Rattus norvegicus: one gene and its partner. The protein of the gene in region 2 interacts with the protein of the main gene of each other region in a pairwise test. Links are inferred from orthologs where the notes say so. Each region holds a gene or a part of one and is shown on either strand. Other genes may lie near its edges.

Region 1 (4,776 bases), on a different chromosome or scaffold from region 2:
CAGCCAGACATTGGTGACTCCATCTGCTGTGTGAGTTAGGAAGGGGACATCGAGAACCGGTGGAGGGGAGACGGAACAGCAGTTGAGAGCATCTGTCCTCTTCCAGGGACTGGGTTTGATTGCCGGCACCCACACGGGGGCTAACAACCGTGTAACTACAGTCCCAGGGATCTGATGCCCTCTTCTGACTTCCTCCTTGGGTGCCAGACATGTACACGGTGCACATACATACACGGGGCAAAACACTTACACACATTAAAAAAAACTTTTAAAAAAAAGAAAGAAAAGAAATATAACAGAAAGAAGCAGGAAGTACTAAGTTCAGGGTAGTGAAGGAAACCAAGACCCGGGCAGTGTGCAGGAGTCACACAGACCCAAAGAACATCGGAATCCCGGGGAGGCTGTAGGCCATCAGCCTGCGGCCTCTCCCGTGAGCACTTCTCTCCAGCCTACGTTCCCAGGCTCTTCAGGCTTTGTAAACTACTGGGAAGCCTCCCTGACCCAGAGATGTACCATTTCCGTAGCGACAGTTTGGTCACAGGCTGGAGCCTCTCTAGGCACCTGCAGAGTTAATCAGACCCAGCAGCCCTAGGAGAGACCACAGGAATGATTCCCTCCTCCCCAGCATAGATCCCAGCAAAGAGTGATTCACAGACTCTACGGTAGCTTGGGCACCATGGCAACGGGGCACCACATCCGGAACAGATGGTTCCACGGCCTTGCCTGTCACATGGCGTCTTTTCTGGCAGGCCTGGTCACCTAGCCCCAAGCGGCATGGAGTGGCACCTGGTAACTATTTATATGGTGGGGGAAAGCCCATAACTAGCAGCTGGCACAGGCAGCGGAGACGCAGGGGTAGGGGAGTCGGTCTGGGCCAAGTCCAAATCAGGGACACGTTAAGGCAGAACATCGAACTTGCTGTCGCCTGGCCTCTGGGCGTGGCTGGGGATGCTGAAAGGCTGGAAGAATCTTAGGAGACGACAAAGCCAAGACGATCGCAGGCAGATGAGGATGCACTGGATAAATCAGCATGGCACAGTCCTCCTGCGGAGGAAGTGGTCGCAGCAGCTTTCTGCTGAAGGCGCCTGCTGGCAGACCGAGGTTTTCTCAGTCGTTGGTGCCACGGCGCTGCCTGGTCAAGTTGATGGGGGTCCGAAGGGAAGCCAAGTCAGACCATCGTGGCGAGGCAAGTCCTAGTACACAGCTAACCCCCCGGGCCAAGCTGGTGCAGAGAAGAAAGATCTCCATGGGGCAGGACCCGTGTCTCCATCAGTTATCCTCCCGTGCTCCAGGATTTGGTACCCACCAAGCAACCAGAGGCATCTGTTGGAAGCAGCTGCTGTGTGACGTGTATCCAGCAGTGACCTTTGCTCGTGAGAGGGATTAGAGGGGAGGGTGTTTTCGAGACAGGATGCTGGTTAATACAACATTTCGTGAGACATCCTGAGCTCCGGCAACACCAGTGAGATCCTGACGTAGTTAGTCTAGGGTGATAAACGGGTGTTTCATTTCCTGCTCTAGAATTCTTTCCAGTCACGAGACCCTTGGGTGTCTCCCAGGCTCATGGCCAAAGTTTGAACAGGAATGATACACCCGCCTTCCCATGTGGCCAGCAGAGTTTCGTTGCTGAAAGAACGTATTTAATCATAGAATGTGTGTGGTGGGGTCTGTCTGTCTGTCTGTCTGTCTTCCTTTCCTTCCTTCCTTCCTTCCTTCCTTCCTTCCTTCCTCATCTCCTCCTCTTCTTTCTCCTCCTTCTTTCCCCATCGTCTCAAGGTCTCTTCTCACCAGAGAAGTTTTTGGAGAGTTCCAATCTAAACGTCTGTCAATTGAGGCTGGTAACACCGGCACTGGAACCAGTAATCAAACGAGCCAGAGGCCAGGCATCCAGGGGTCACTCTAGCTCCCAAAATGCACTTGTGCTTCTGTGCTGGACACTTTCTAGGGAATCATTAGAAGCTGCGGGCTGCAGGAGTCAGACACATGATAATTTGACTATATTTTACACGTCCATGTTTATTAGGGACCTCAAAAAAACAAAAAAGCAAAAAAAAAACAAAAAAACAAATACACTGACTCCAAGATGACCCGTGATGCAGAATCAGATATGAGGAGAATCCTGGGCAATGACTGGATTACCGTACGATTGGGCCACACAGCCCAAAATCAAAGGCACAAGGGTTGTTTTGGAAATAGAGATTCAAGAAGCCCAGGAAAATGTTCTTATCAATGTGCAGAGCGCACACTGCGGGGTCCTGCTTCATGGAGGATATCCAGAGCCGCAGCATTGGGGTGTGATTCACACAGCTGCAAGACAGGGAAAGGACAAGGTTGGGAAAGGGGACACTATTCACTCTGTAGATTATAAAGAAACAAAAATCTGGGTTTCTTTGGGAAATATGATAAGCTTAGTTATTATGCAGTAAACCTGATCTTCACTGAGGACAAGGCTTACTTGGACCGGTGTGTCCAACTGTTGACACTGTCACAGTGGCTTCTGTGAAAGTGGCGGAACACTTGTGAACTGAGGCAGGGGAATCAAGCCTCTTCATTTCATGACTGACTGACTGACAGCCTCTCTAGTAAACCGTCTTAGGCCATTTGCAGATTTTACTTTTAGGGCTTTGAAAAAGAGAGTAGCTTCCTAAACACTTTAAAAATAAATTTAAGACAAGCGTGAACCCCTGAAACCCTGGCCTTTTCAAACATGAACAAGGGAATTCAGGGCTAGGGTCTGAGAGACAACATGCTAAGGTAAGACAACTGGTGGGATGGAGGCCAGGACACTTGGTAGGGTCTTACTAATCTCAGGATCTCCACGCTGCCTTGGAAGGAGATGGGTTTATGAGTTACCTGTGTATCTCACCACCTAGTCTTATGTCTGATCTAAAGAACTACTTTGCAAATCCTAGAGATGTCAGGTACCTGTGGCATGGCTGGCTGGAATCTGCATCAGCAACACTACACAGGCCTGGCTCTGAGGTAACAAAGTTTTAAAACAAAGCTTTTAAAGTGTGACACCTGTGTGATACGTGCTTGCTACTTTGTTTATATGAAGAGTAATGCATGCGCTGCTTTTGAAACCTGGTTTTCAAAGGGCGTTTCTACTTGGGAGGACATGAGAGGGGATTCGGCTGCGTGGCATGTGCCCCGTGACTCAGCAGGACCATGTGTGTGGCGATGGAGGGAACTAGATTATTTTGCGTGTCTGTGAATACATGGGGGACGGTGGGCTCTGAAGCAATGGGGGTTGGGGGGCTTTGCACACTGAGCCTTAGCCATAGACATGTAGGTAATATATGCATTTGGACACGGAAGCATGCCTGAGCAGTATGGAGCCCTGAGTTTTGTTTCACAAACATCCCAAGACAGTCCACAGGGGAGTCAGTGGGACCCAGAGCTTCTTGACAATTGGCACTCATTCAATTTGCAATCACATAGTCAGATGTCTTACTCAGCCAGTCCATATACATCCAGTCGCTCAAACCAGGGCCAGACGAGGTAATCAATCATGGATATAGAGTCTCCACCGAAGAAGGTAGTGTTCTGATATTCAAGAATCTAGAAATATACACAGAACAACAGCCAGTGAGTTTATGTGTTTGCTGACATGTGTCACAGATGCCAAATATAAATATCATATTAATTACAAGGAAGGAGAGCTAGCTTGCCTGCCTATTTCCAAGAGACCACTTCTTCCCTCCCCACGATGTCCTGACCACATCCTGCTCTCTGCCTCTCCTCAACGCCCAACAGAAAACACGGCTCACTGACTGGACAAGTTGGGAAGAGCAATTCAGGAAGAGGTGGCCTAGTCCTCCCCTTAGTCTAAACCAGACTCCTCCAAGTCCTAGGCTGTCTCCAGAGCAGACGAGCTTGGAGCAAGGATGCCCTGCCTCGAGCCAACACCTGCCCATTCCCCAGAGACATGAAAATGTGAGCCAGAGGCTAAATACCAGCAGTTAGAAACCCCACTTGCTGGAGTCGTGACCTCATCTCCTGCCTACTCTGTACTTCAGGGATGCTGCAGACCCCATTGGTCTTTCTTCTGCCTTCTCAGTGGCTTCAGGGCTAGGTCTAGACGGGACAATGCTGTTCAGTGGGTTTCCCTGCGTCCTCGGCTGCCTTTACCATACTTTCCTCTTTTATTCCAATCCTTCAAGCTCCTGACACTCAGCATCACTAACGTTCTACAATAACACAAAACTCAGTCTTTCTCGAATGGGACAAATGGGACCACACAGGTGGACTCTAAGGCAATCAGACTTTTGACTGACCATGACCAGAGAGCCATGAAAGGCCTGCAGTTTCCAACACAAAAATAGTTACTGCTGAACTGCCCTGAGAGAGCCCCAGGGCGCCAAGCTCCCAGCTAAGTGCACTGCTCACTGGACCTACACAGCAGGCAGCCAGCTCAGCACTTCCCCCTCTGCTGGCAGAGGCTGCTAGGCCAGGTGACTGTGGAAAGAAGCCTAGGCTGAGATCTCCATCTTAGATGAAAGAGTCAAACAGTACATTCGGAACTGGTGAAACGGCTAAGTCAGTAAAGGGCTGGCCACACGAATGTAAGGAGCCCGTGGAGAAGGGCTGCCTCACTGGCTTCCCCAAGAGCTTAGGATGTTCAGACAGGTGGAGCCTCGGAGTCCCTGACAGAGTCCAACTCTGAGTCCCGAGCCACTGAGAGATCCTATTTCAAACGCTCAAGGCAGACTTCACTGAGTAGAAACAGCAACAAACGCCAAGCATATTCCAAAATCTCCCAAGTTGCCTTGGTCA
Region 2 (6,567 bases):
ATGATTCCGGGTGGATGGTACTCAGTTGCTTTATTACAGGTTTTATTATACTCAATGCTCTCATTTGTAACTTGCCTAAAGTGCTTCTGGATTTAAGTATAATTAAATTGAGAAATGTTCAGAAATGACTACTGCTGCAGTTCTTGTGTTTTAACTATATGGGGAAATATGATCCCTTTATGCATGCACCCTAAACCCATAAAGTAAATGTAGTGTGGCATAATACTTTTATTTCTGTTATTTCTAGCTAGACCTTGTCCATACAGGGAAGACTGTTAAGTTTAAAATCCCACTGAGATATTAATGATTAAATAATTTTCACCATCGACTTGATTTTCTTAAATATTTAGCAGCCATTCTTATTAAAAGTTAACCGTGGCAGCAATGAGAAAATTGAAAACAACCCTTTTCCTGACCCAAATTCCTTTGAAAGATTTTTTTTCCCCTTGAAAGGTGGGGGAGGGTGAGAAGAACGCTGGGCTTCTTGCTTTCATGTGATCATTTGGTTAATTTCTCCTACTGACCAATTTCACCACAAAGATTTACCACACAGGTATCAAGAATTCCCACCAGCCACAGGACATTTTTGCAAAAGCAGACCTATGTCCAATGCAGGGTAACTCCAAAGCTTAAGATACTACTTGCTATTTGAGTGTTTTCAAAGAACGGGCAAAGAAAAGAATTCAGAGCCTCTCTAAAATCACCGTAACTTCTAGTTCTATTCAAAATTACTTTTTTATAAAATATTGCCTCAAATTCACTAAGGATCATTTTCTAAAAGCATGTAAATATGAACACACCACACACACACACACACACACACACACACACACACACACACACACACAGAGCTTACTAAGCCTTGCATTGGACCAAGTGCCTGCTTTCTGTGTTCCTTGCAAGGCTGTTAAGCATAACCAACAAATTTCAGTGATTAACTGGGCTAAATGAGAGAGGTAATAAATTTTCTATTTTCCTGTAGAACTTCAAGAATGTTTTAAATCCGCCAGGCAATCAGGTAAGTCCATGTGGCCCGTTTTCCTTACAATCTAATTCAGTAATCATTAAACTGTCAACAGACATACCACTGCTATATTTGATGTAGTAATTTGAAATAGCATTTTAGCAGAAATCACATCCAGATACATTTCCTTTCCAAAGAAAAGCACCTTTAACGGTGCATATATATATATATATATATATATATATATATATATATTCCATTTCAGGACGATTGTAAGAAAGTCATAAATTTATAGAGCTGAGGCTGAGATGCTGGTTGCAATTTAATTTTTAAACGTATTTTCAAATTATCAATAGCCTGGGCTACATTCTAAGTAGTACGTGTGCTAAGGCCCTGCTTATTTAGAAATTATTTTAAAACTGCATTTATTGAGAACTGAATTAGAACTCAACACAGCACCCAATAGTCTCCAAACATTTAATTGAATATGCAGTTAGCAGACTCTGATAGGCGTTGGGAACCTAGCTAATGATTTATGAGGTCACCACTTAGCACCCCCAGGAAGAGAAGAAAGCTGCATTTTAATGTCCCTGTGCTCGGATTTGCTACTTATGTCCCTTTGATCAGGATAGAGAAGGCATAACTTCTAGGTTTTACTAATGCTTATAAAAGCCGGTTCAAGGACCTTTTCCTAAGTCTCCCATACTTTCTTTTACTTTGTGAGCGCATCTGAAAAGCTCTCTAGATTAAATGTAACCTATTTCCTAGAACAGCGAGAAACCCCCCCCCCCACACACACACACGACACCTTCAGCAGTGGAATTACATTCTCCCTCGATCCACACACTTTACCGCCTCGGAGAGAAGCTACCTGAAGGGTGACAATCGCCAGATTTATTTGTGTCGGTTGGAAGTGGTGACCCAGGCTTTGTTGAGCGAGCTCCAGGAAGCATTGTTCTCAATTACTTTTTAATTTCAAAAGTCGATTGTTCAAGTGAGTCTCACCCTCACCCCCAACTATTATTGAGGAAAACCAAGGCCCTGAGGGCCTGGGCTCCACGAAGCTTCCCAGCGGGCAGGTGAGCCTAGGTCTGCGTTCCCTCCCGTGGCCTGCACGGCCTCTTACCGGGACGTCCTCGATGGCGTGAGGTAAGGAGTGGATCGGGAGGTCCCCGAGCCCGGAGCCGAGCCCGTGCGGGCCGTGTAAGAGGTCCTCGTGCCGCCGATAGTCCCTGCGAGGGTCCAGGCCTGACAGTTGGTGGGGTAGCCCCCGGTGTGTGTGTAAGAGCCCAGACTCCTGGCTCTGCCTCTGGCCGGGCCAGCCCGGGTGCTGCGGCTGCGGCTGGGCGTGCAGGGGATTCAGGCTGTAGGGGTCGTTGACGTGGGAGTAAGGATCTTGCGACTGGGGGTAGATAGGCTGGTAGGGCGGGGGAAAGTAGGGAGGCTGGAAGTCGGCATTAGGGGTGTGGGACAGCGGCGGGGCGCTGGTGTAGGGAGATTGACCTACAGTGCCCAGCTGGGGCAACCGTGCCGTCCCGTTGCTGGTGCCGTCGTGACGGTCCTGGAAGAAAGCAAGACAGAAAGGGAAGGAAAAAGAAATGAGGCTCAGGGTTTCAGCTATCCTACTTGATCTATTCCACAAACCCAGTGTGGGCAGGCCACCGAACTAGGGGCATCAACTCTACACTGTTCATATTGGAAAACACCCAAGAAGTGAAGCAGGCCTTTCTAAAAAAAAATGCAAAGAAATCAGAATATGTAAATCTAGTGGCACAACAGACTCTCCCGGACATTCCTCTCAAAGGAGGGAAGAAGACATAAAAGAGTATGTCCTGTGCTACAACCCTTAACAGCCGCAGTACCAAACCTCCCTTAAGCAAAATTCAGATAGCCACTAAATATTAAACAGGAGAAGCGGCCTTTGCTTTTCCCGGATTTGAACCTGTCTGCCAAGGCATTATTGTTTACTCTTCCATTAATCTTGAGGGGGGAAAATCATAAACCTTCAAAGACTATTACCATTTCATGACTATTAAATAGAAACATGTTTCACATAGAGGCCGTAAGAAAGCACACGTTTAAATGACCAGCTTAAAGGTTTTAACTGCATGGTTGGGGAGGGGGTCTGTCTTTTCCGCTTCCTCTGTTAGAAGGCTTTTTACACGACAGGGTCGTTTTTATGATATGAATGGGGAGTGAAGGACGCCAAGCCAGGGTTTAAAACAGAAAGATTCTGTCTTACCGGGTTCTTTTTAAAAGAAAGAGGTGCACCCCGGGGCGGAGGCCCCCGCCCCTTCCACCCCAGCCCCAAAGGGCAAAAGAAACCCCTGACTTTAGGTTTCTCAATTGCAATTCCCTTGCAAAGCAAGACAAGGGTGGGTTCCAGAAAGCGGGAACCTTCCGAGGTTTAGCCATCAGGCCCCAGGCTAGGGGACACACCGGGGTGCGCCTTTCACCCCCCACAGACGGATTAAACATCAGCTGTGGAGAGCGTCTCCGAAACTAGTAAAGACGCAAGGAAAGAAAGACAAACCCGGCGAGAAACTGGCCCAGGGAAAGAGCTGCGGGGTAGGTCTGCGTGCGCGGAGAGGTCTAGCAGGGACAGGGCAGTGGCGACGCGTTGGATTTGGGGATGGAAAGGAGCCAGAGAAAAGAGGAAAGGGGGATAGGAATGCAAATGGAAGGCGAGGTCCACAAGGAACCCTGGCCAAGAAGCTCAGGATCTCGGGCAGTTTCTCGGCTGCGGGTTTCTGGAACAGAATTCCTAAGGAAACAGGGTTGGGGGTGGGGTGGGACTCACCATAGCTGAAAAACTGTGAACTAACATCTGCGAAGAATCTGGGGTAACCAGTCAGGGTGAGGAAAAAAAAAAACCAACAACAATAACAAAAGCAAAAAGCAAAAAGCACCACGCCTCGAGCACCCGGCTGCCCGGCGGCCCGAAAGAGCCACACACAAAAGGCGCCGAGAGCCCCGCGCCACCCAGGACTCCAGTCACCGCGCGGACGTTCCCGCGAGCGTCGGAGCCCCGCTCGGATCCATCCGAACTTGTATCACCGAGTCGCGCGGCGCCTTCAACTGGTCGAACCCACGATCTCTATCCTCCCGGGATCGGTTAGGATTCAGAGCTCTTTAAGAAAAACAAAAAGCAAAAACCACCACCAACAAAAAACAACCAAACCAAAAAAAGAAAAAAACCCACCAAAAAATACGAAAAAGTGTGTGTGTGTGTGTGTGTGTGTGTGCGTGCGCGCGCGCGCGTGTTCCTTAATCCGTGTCTCCCCCTCTTTCCTTAGCGGCGGCTTCACTTCAGCTTCTAATAACCGCGCTGGGCAGCGTTCCTGGAGCCTCCTAATAGCAGATATTCATGACTATTAATATTACACGAATACTTAATAAGGGAAGAATGCCTGGAAATCGAGCGTGAAGCGGAGAGGCAACTCGCGCCGGAGCCGGCTCTCAATGCAGTCATTGACGGGAGTCTCAGTGTAGCAAATCGGAGGTGGGGAGAGGGAGCGCGAGAGACAAAAAGCGAGCGACGGAGGGAGCGGGCGAGCGTGCGGGGGGCCGCGGCGCGGCGACTGGCGAATCACAGCAAAGGGGCAACATTTTAAAAGGTTGCAGGGCCTGCAAAAGTGAAAGAGAAAGAAGGCGAGAGAGGGAGGCCGAGGGGCCAGAGCGCGGAGAGGGAGGATGTGTCTGCGTGCGTGTGCGCGAAAGAAAGTGTGGGCGACCAGAAGAGAGAGGAGTGGAGAGAGGGAGGGAGGAAGGAGGGAGCGCCGGGGAGGAGGAAGGGAGGGCAGGAGGGAGGGAGGAGGAGGGGGAGGAGGGGGCCGAGCCGGAGCTGCGGAGGGGGAGCCCGCGGCAGAGGGGGGGGGAGGGGGAGAGGAAGCGAGGGAGGACAATCGGACCTAAAAGGCTAGGGCAGACCTCGGGATGGAGCGGGGGTCGCGCGCCGCGAGCTGGAGCTCCGGGGACCCGCTGGCCGCTGCCCACCGAGTTCTGCGCCTGGGAGGTGCTTCCCGCCGCTCTCCGGCCCCGGGATTCTCTGTTGCGCAGCGGGGCCTGGGACTCGGGACTCGGCTGCCCGCTGCCTCGCTGCTCCTCCATGGCCCGGCGTCCCGCCTGGGAGCAACCCGCCCGCTTCGCTAACCCTTGTCCTCCGCCTGGTCGCGAGTCGCCTTCCCTAGGACCTCGGAGCCGTGCGCTCGTCGGCTGCGACTGCTCCGATCTCGGTTGGTCCCCGGACCGGGTTCCGAGAGCGGGAGCCGGAGCCGGAACGCGGCCCGGGGCGCGCACAGACGCGAAGCGGCCCAGCCTGGGCGCCTCTGGCAAGGGCTCCTGGCTCCCTGCACAAACCCGTCGGACTGGCTGGGCCACTCCCGCCGACACCCCCTAGATGACAGGGCTAGCTCTCCCCGCGCGTCGCCACTGCTAGTCTGCCCGCCTGGTTGTCGGAACAAGCGGCACCTCGCCTCTTGCGTGTCCCTGCAGAGCCTCAGCTAAATCAGACAACTCCAAGCCCGCTCGGAAACCTGAAATCCCTGCTCCAGCGCTGGCTATCCCGCCGCCACCAAAGTTGTTGAAATTGTCCAGACTTTTTTTCCCGGCCCCAGTCTCATCACACCCCTCTCCCAACCCTCTCTCATGCACCTCCAGAGTCCCTCTGGGGGGTTCAAGTTCATCTCGCGCCCTACCCTCGAGATCCCTTTGGTGTGTAGAGCCACACGAAGGTTCTTAACACTTCCACTCAGGGCGCTTGTATCTCGAACTGACTTCTGGGTTCCAAGAAAGTGAAAAAGCGTCAGCCTGGGAAGGGAGCCCAAAACCCTAAGGGAAAAAACTGCTCTTAAATAGTCGCAGGAGTACCTAGGCCTGCCGGCCAAAGTACCCTTAGCCTAGAAAACAAAGCTGGCTGGTCCTATGTGGGGTTCCTGTGCCCCTTCCGGCGCACCACAGGAGCCCCCCAAAGAAGCACGGATATTGTTTGTCACCTGGTGTCCCCTCCGCCAGGTTAGGAGTGGAGAGGGGTAAAGAGAGAGCAGGAGAGGAAAAAGAAAGTAAAATGGCTTTTTAAAAGCAAAGTGGAGGGAGCGGGTGACACTTCCTTCATGTAAACCCAGTTTCTGATTTCGAGTGGAGACAGAATTTTTGCCTCTGCGCCCGCGAGCAGACCTTTCAGCCAGAAACCCCAAAAGCCAAAAGGAATGAAGCGAAATAAGAATAGCGAAAGTCAAGGCTACCACAGTTTTGGATAATCACGGGCTTCCCACCCCTCAGTCACCCCCACGCACTCATCAGCTCCCTTCAGTGGAGTTTGTAAAAAAAAAAAAAATTAACAAGGCTAAGGTCATCCCCTGCACAAGCCGTTGGTGTTTTCTCCATGCCTCCCTGGCTGTCCCAAAAGTTATGCTCTGAGGCTCTGGGTTTTAAAATGGGTTCCCAAGGGAGAGTCCTCTGTGATCCCAGTGGACTATCGGCAACCGGAGACGATCGGCAGTCGCCCCAGGATTTTCAGGGTCCCGCTGTTTAGCGCCCACAGGTAGAAGAGGGATTCCTCCCACGCCCCCGGCTCCGAGAGGCTGGTAACACACCAGCACCCA

Evidence for each region.
Region 1: the proteins of Tfap2a (region 2) and Gsto2 interact in binary tests that used the Homo sapiens proteins (3 or more experiments, as listed by UniProt). The two-hybrid records come from large-scale screens. The link is inferred for Rattus norvegicus from reciprocal best matches to the Homo sapiens genes TFAP2A and GSTO2.

Annotation. Positions count from the first base shown.
Region 1 is NC_086019.1:256,692,375-256,697,150, reverse strand, and holds the end of Gsto2 (glutathione S-transferase omega-2), read right to left. Parts: intron 3,562-4,776; coding exon 3,455-3,561; intron 2,308-3,454; coding exon 2,136-2,307; 3' UTR 1,997-2,135; downstream 1-1,996. UniProt on the Homo sapiens protein: Exhibits glutathione-dependent thiol transferase activity. Has high dehydroascorbate reductase activity and may contribute to the recycling of ascorbic acid. Participates in the biotransformation of inorganic arsenic and reduces monomethylarsonic acid (MMA).
Region 2 is NC_086035.1:24,235,195-24,241,761, reverse strand, and holds the start of Tfap2a (transcription factor AP-2-alpha), read right to left. Parts: upstream 4,080-6,567; 5' UTR 3,792-4,079; coding exon 3,765-3,791; intron 2,526-3,764; coding exon 2,091-2,525; intron 1-2,090.